Linked DNA regions of Drosophila melanogaster. Changing the gene in region 2 together with the main gene of any one other region gives a genetic interaction. Each region holds a gene or a part of one and is shown on either strand. Other genes may lie near its edges.

Region 1 (3,377 bases), on a different chromosome or scaffold from region 2:
CCCGAAGGTCTGGCTAAGAGGAACTGGCTGCTCCAGCTGGACTTTGCCCAACAGAGCGGAAACGGAAGCGGTATTGGCATAGGAATTGGCAATGGTAATATGAGCGGAAATGGCAGCATTGTCGGCAGTACAGACAGTGCGAGCGGCAGTTCAAATGGGAGTTTATATTAGTGCAATTTACCTAAGTACTTTACGAATTTTGTATAGTTCCTTGTTTTATATTTTCTAAATCTGTAATCTGTAACAGCATCTGTTGCCACGTTGCCGACTTTTGTTTACCTCTCTCGTTTGGCGCATTATCTACTGCATACCATTACGACTACGACTATGTTCACGTTCGTTCCATCTGCGTTCCGTGCTTCATCTAGGGTTCTGTATAGTTAGCTTAGTTTCTTGCGGAAGTTCCGGTTCGGTGAATGATGCTATGTGATGTCTCAAATCTCTATTGTGGCCCAGTGCACTGCTCCTGGGGAGCGGCCTGCTTATTAAACGGGTCTGGCAACAAACAAAAAAGTAAAAAAAAAAAAAAGCGGCAGCTGACAAAAATGTGCGAAGTCGAAGAAGTACATCGGAAACAGATCAACAAAATTAAAATTTTAGTATTCGTATTTAAGCAAAAAAAAAAAAAACAAATTATACATAATTATATTTACAAATAAATGTGTAAGGAGTGGTCTTTACGTGTCGAAACCTTATGCAATGCACACTCTATATTTCACATTTCTTCGGACCAGTTGGGCCACTGCTGTATCAGAGCGTAGAGTGCTTCTCCAGGACTCTTGGTAGCACTGACTTGACGATGGCCCAGTAACTTATAGCCCTCCACCAGCTGAGCCTGTTTGACAGCCTGCTCCAGCAGCTCCTTGGCGGCATCCAAGGCCTCCTTGTTGGGCGCCCGTTCTTCGAAGTTACCAATAAACGCAATGCCCAGGGAACCATCGTTATTGGGACCGGCAAAGGCTCCTCTCTGGCTTGGACTTCTGCCTTCGTATACCTTGCCATTACCGCCGATCAGATAGTGGTAGCCAATGTCCGAGAACTTTTGCTTGGACATCTGGAAGTTTTGCAGATTTTGCATGTGCTGGGAGCATGTAACATCATCCGCACAAGCTCCTCCAGCTGTATGGGCGATCACAGCACGTGGCAAGGGAGTTTCCATGCTGTCTATGGCTCCGTTCGGCGGTTTGGCATTCCACTCGGCCCTCGTCACGATCGGTACTTCCCCCTGGACAGCGATTGCTGTGAGGCCAACGATGAGCAAACCGATCCAAGTCATTCCACTTGCGTGTCTGTCAACTGACTGGGTTGGGATCTTATGGGCTGCGGCACCTATTGCCGCTGATAAGGGGAGTGCCCCCAAGGAGATAGTCATCCGACCCCATATAAATGAATGTATCATACATATATGAGGGGGATTTTTCTTGCCAGTGATAGATAATTGACAGGGGGTAACGATTATAAGAACAACTAGCATAGCAATATATCGTTCTCTCAGAATTTTTCTAAATGGGTAAAATTTGCCAAGCGAAATTCCCCTAAAAACTACAAGGCCACCACAAGGGGGACATATATGTAATAAAAAGTGTAAAATGTACATAGAACTTAAATCACTTACCACGTTCTTGTGAATTATTAAATAAAAATTTGCTGCTTTAGATTATTTCATAGTTCTTACTTATTTTACACTAACACTCGCGAATCAGCAGATTGAGCATTTTTACAGCATGTTGATTTGATGTTTTTCTTTGGCGGGATGTAATATTAATTTTACCGGAACACTCGTATTTATTTAGTTATAATCCCAATCTGACACAAACTATAATTAAACCGCACTATTTTTACGCGTTTCAATAACTGATTTCTTTTAATGCGATCGAATTAAGCGTTGAATTGCGTGTAATATCGACAATAGAAAAGAAGCCGAAAAAGTGAGCATTCGCGCAAGTGCCGCTATTTCTAGCTTGTAAGCCTGCCTTCGAGCAAGAACTAACTGTAATCAATTGCCTCTCTGTAAACAAACGTAAGTGTTTGATGCGATCGAATTACTCGCCGAATTGTGAGTCATAACCAAAGAAAGAGCGTGCTTTCGCGCAAGTGCCGTTATTTCGTCTTGCTTTCTTTAATCGAATATATTTCGGTCTCTTCTTTTGCAGCAGTTCTGTTTTTTTAGTGTGCGCGGAAGTACGTTCTGTTTGTATACTATTACCTCCTTTACTTATTAAACTAACTTTAAACAGTTATTTTAATAGTTAGATTCTACACAACGGCAACGTAGAATGATTTTTTACATACATAGGTCAGCTTAAAACAATTGTGAAATACTACTTAATAGCGAATGAATGAATAAAGCAAAGCTTTGGTTTCGGTTATTATTATTTTTTTTTTTTTGTTTTTTCTTTATGTGTTTTGTGTGTGTTTGATATATACATGTACATACATATGTATGTACATGCATACATAAGTATGTATGTATAAAAATAGTGAAATGCTTATACAGGAAGCCTGTATTCTTAAAAGATAAATATGATTAATATGTATAAATACAGAGAAAGTAAGGTAAGTAAGTTTTAATTTTTTACCTAATTAAAATAATTGGTTTGAAAATAATTGTACGCATAATTTAGTGTGTTGTGTACACTAATGTACATGTACAACTTTATATTGCAATTTCAATCTGAACATCCACTATCTAATGGTACACTTTATACCGCGTATTTCCCTTAAATGTATTGAGGCCCCCCGATTTATCCCTATTTTATGCCAGTTAATACGAGCCCACAGAAACCTCAACTTGACACAGATGTTCTAGGCAGTGATTTAATTAAAAAACTTTTGCAATTAAATGCAAAAACTGCAAAAAACAAAGCGGAGTGCAGGCCATTAAGCCCCCAAAAAAGGGCGTGATGAGGAAGTGAAGTCGCAAAGTGACAACGAAAATGCAAGTAAGCGCCCTCAATTAAAAGCCAAAATGAATATAAAATGCGATGGAAAAGGGATGAGAGTTGAGGGGAGAGTGGTGGGGAGAGCTAAGCCGCAACATCCAGAAAACCCGAAAAAGCCGGGCTAAAACCAAAAACCGAAGCCAAAACTATGCGCGGCTGGAAAAACCAGCTGGTGGCGGGAAAAACTCGCCGTTAACTTGAATTTAAGTGAGTTCTGAGTTGGGAGCACCCCTCCGCAAATCGGCTCCCTCAAAAAATCCGTGTTGTTTGGTTATTCGAATTGTTTTTTTTTTATTAGTAGGAGTTTTCCAATGTCCTGCAGAGAAAAACATATTTTTTTCGCCACTTCCATAGTCTCAATTTAATCTGTCCCGCATTTGGATGCAATTTTTGGGGCGCCAAGTTGGCTCATTTGCAAAATTGTCAGATTTATTT
Region 2 (3,756 bases):
GCACTATTGCGTCGCGGTCGCCGCAGGACACGGTGCAGGGTCTTCCACACGTTGTTCAGATACTGGAAGTACAGCTCCTTGCTGACCTTCAGGTCGCGCTGGTCCGCCTCCATGGATCCGTTGGCTGGCGTGTGAAAGTTGAGACGCTCCTCCATCGCCTGCCGGCTAACGCGGCTCAGCTTCGCACCATTGCTGTTCGGATAGGAGGCGTTTATGGTCAACTCGATCTCGCAGAGCATATAGCGCGCGCTGACCAGCAGGTCGTGCAGCTCCTTGGTGACCGCCTCGTTGAGGCTCTTCTGCTGATCCTTGCGGAACTTGTACTGCGCCCGTCCCAGATATGAGAAGCTGCCCACGAAGGTCTGCATGTGGCGGTACCAAGTCTTTAGCTTCACCTGTAAATTGAGTAGAAGAGTGCTCGTCAGTGACTGTTGCATGTGGATGCTGCGCAGCTGGGAAGGGCATGCAAATGAGGCGGGCCGACTGGGAAACTGGTCTGCGCCGCCCAGGGCGGAGCAGGTCCGCTTCACTCTGTCTCACCGCCTCGGTTTGGATGGATCTCTTTGGCGCGGTCTGCATCGGTATCAACTTACCGCACTTGTGGGCCTCGTCATGTTCGGCAGGAACTTGTACTCGCGCTGCCAGTGCTGCAGATTGCCGTACTCCAGGGTGGCGCGGTGGGTTATATCTTGGTATTCGCTCATCGTGATGTTCCGCAAGTTTTCGAGGTGCTGCAAGTGGAGAGCGGGGGAAATCGATGAGTAATGCATATTGGCTGTGTGACAGAATTTCTCGAACGTTTCGGGTTCAACTAACTGCCTAAGTAGCTGTCCTGCTAAAGATGCTAACAGGACACACAACGCACAAAAGTATCTATGTATCTTAGTATCTATGAAGCTGCGTTGCGACTATGTAAATATAAACTGTTATCAAACAATGTAAGAAAAGCTTGGTGTAGGTTGCTTTCCTCCATTGCCCTTAAGTGCTGAAGCAAATCTAAGTGATAGCCAAGATTGAGGTAGGTCACCATCTCTCCCATTTAAATTTATATGTATAACATTTTGGATCCCCTGCTCACCTTGCGCTTGATAACTCGTCCTTGGCTGGCGCTGCTATCGCTGAGGCTCTCGTCGGGCGTGTAGGTGCCTCCGCACGGGTTCTCCCACTCCGGGATCTCTGATTTGCCGGAGAAGAGTCGCAGGTTGTGGCTGCGCGCGTGTCGCGTCCTCTGACGGCGCATCTCCCGCCTGGCAGCCCGGATGGCCGCCTGGGCGATCTCCTCGTAGCTACTCTCGCTGAGACTCATATCACTGTCGTAGCTGCCCTCGCCGAAGCTATCGGCCAGACCGCGATACGGATTGACATCGAAGGCGGGCAGGATGTCGCCACCCGATGATGAGGATGACGATGACGACGAGGAAGATCGGCCGGAGTTGTCCTCGTCGTAGGCGTAGTCCAGTGCCACCTGGTCGCGCAAGTGTCGCGCCTTGGTGAATGGCATCACGACGCTCAGGATCATGATCACTAGCAGCACCTGCCGGCTGTGGCAGCTCCAGCTGCTGTGTGCACTCCTGCTGCTGCGGCTGCTTTGGCTCTGTTGGCTGGCTGCAAGTGGTAGAGATGGTGGATGCGTTAGTGGATTGGCCATCGTATCAGTTTGCAATGGGTGGTGGGCGGTGGGGTGTGTGGTTTGGTGGAAATGCGGGCGTACCGTTTAAGGTAAAGGCTGGCATTGCGCCTATCACTAACACTACACTAACTGGGCTAACTTGGCTAACTTGGCTAACTGGCTAACTGACTGACTAGCTGGCTGGCCAACTATCACAATCGCTTGCTGCTGCTGCTGCTGCTGCTGATGCTGATCGCTCCACGGTCTCTCCCGCTCGACGGCTGATGGCTAAGTGACTGCGGCTGCAGCGGCGCTCGAAAATTTGTAAGCCTCCAGCCGCCTGGCGTCGCTCACGCATTCCCACTTCCACTCGACTCGGCTCGACTCATTCTCCGTGCCGATCTCCCAATCCCAATCGATCGCGTCTGCGAGTGCGAGCGAGAGCGCCCGAGTGAGCGAACGAGCGAGTGAGTGAGTGAGTGAGTGCAATTACAGCAGCCCGACCCGTTCGAGGCCTTGAGCAATTTTCTGATATGGTTTTCGAGCATTTGTCATGCTCTCAAAGTCAGTCGCACTGGACGGCCGTCTCTCGCTCTCTCGGCCGCCTTTTGGCTGAATTTCACCAGAAAGATTACTCATAGGTATTTGGGTTTTTTTTTCGGATTTCGGATTTCGATTTCGATTCACGACTTCCGACCCGATCCGACCCGACGCGACCATACCAGGCCAGACCAGACGCTACCCAGACGCTCTGCGCGTCGGCGTCGGAGTCTGCGGCCAACGGTGACGTAGCCAGCGTACCCACCCACCGCCCACCGCCCATAGCAGCGCGCTCGACCTTTGAATAATTCGTTTTGCCGCTCAGCAGACCGCTCGCTCCGCACCGACCAATAACAATCCAGCCAGCCGTTCGGCGTCTCTGTTGTCGTAGGTCAGCGACTTGATAACGACGCCGACTGAGCTGTCGGCGGTTCTGCGACTGCGATAAGGCACGTGCTGCTATAGTACTAGTTGTTGTTGTTGCTGTTGCTGTTGCTGTTGCTGCGGTTGGCCAAGTTGATCAGCTGGCCAAGGCCATAAACACTAATTGGTCGGTTATCGGGATATTGGAAAGTTCTGCTTGAACGCAATGCGATGATTAATGCTCTACGATCTTGGCCAACGAAAGTTGCTAGTGTTCTTATCATTCGAGGATGGAACTTGGTCATGCGAGGTATCTAGATAGTCGGGAAGAGGAAGGGCTTCAAGTTGACGAATCGATTGGCAAATGCCAACTGAATGGTGGGATTTCACTGCTACCATTTACAACTATCTACATATGATACATATTGTTGTATCAAAATTAAGCTGTTATTTTTATAAATTTGGTTTATAATTAACCTGTCTTTAATTGAGCCCCTTTTGGAGGTAACACCATCGCGCCTTCGCACATTCCACCTTGCCATTCACTAGCATTGGCATTAGCGTCGAAGCCGATTATTAACAGTTCGATCACTCGCCATCCGGCAAAGGGGATTCACCCCAGAAAGCCCAGAAAGCAAAAGGCACTAGTACACTAGCACACTGCCAAATAGGCAAACTGGCAAGCTGGCCAAGTTGAGCACACAGCATTAATCATGGGAACCGATCGAAGGTATTCCGTAATGGGCCAGTTAGCCAGCTAGCCAGCCAGTCAGCTAGCAAATCATCTTTTTATAAACAATTGCGAAATGAACGGGGAAAGTTATCTTCTAACTGGGAAAGCGGTGATCTAATTTCGCAGGGACTTTGCACCCAAACCGATCCATACTCACTGTGAAGTCGCATTTTTGGGACCGGATCACGTTCTATTTTGGCAACATCCATAATACTGCGTGTGTGTGTGTGGTGGCAATGCCAGTGATAACTGGAGTGAAGTGATCGGAGATCAGATCTGATCAGTTCAGTCAGATGGGCTATTATAATATTATAATATTATTCTATTTGTGTTCGTTCTAGTGCGGATTGGTAATTGTGTGTCGCGGGTGTTTCGGTATCTTTACTCCGATTGTTGGGCTGTGCTCACAACGCGGGACAATTAGCATTGGCGTGTGTCTAAGCGAAACTGATTCATGGTCTCGGGCCGTCGCATAATTTTATATTTATACGAAAATCGCCGGCGATTGCCG

Evidence for each region. Genes that interact genetically often act in the same process or in processes that back each other up.
Region 1: of upd2 (region 2) and PGRP-SD, changing one suppresses a phenotype caused by changing the other (phenotypic suppression), as found in Drosophila melanogaster (one study listed by BioGRID).

Annotation. Positions count from the first base shown.
Region 1 is NT_037436.4:7,649,104-7,652,480, reverse strand, and holds PGRP-SD (peptidoglycan recognition protein SD), read right to left. Parts: upstream 1,302-3,377; 5' UTR 1,277-1,301; coding exon 716-1,276; 3' UTR 581-715; downstream 1-580. Other genes in the region: CG7492 (uncharacterized protein), read left to right, coding at 1-171. UniProt on the Drosophila melanogaster protein: Peptidoglycan-recognition protein that plays a key role in innate immunity by binding to peptidoglycans (PGN) of Gram-positive bacteria and activating the Toll pathway. Has no activity against on Gram-negative bacteria and fungi.
Region 2 is NC_004354.4:18,241,487-18,245,242, forward strand, and holds the start of upd2 (unpaired 2), read right to left. Parts: upstream 1,799-3,756; 5' UTR 1,734-1,798; coding exon 1,712-1,733; intron 1,606-1,711; coding exon 1,079-1,605; intron 732-1,078; coding exon 594-731; intron 396-593; coding exon 1-395.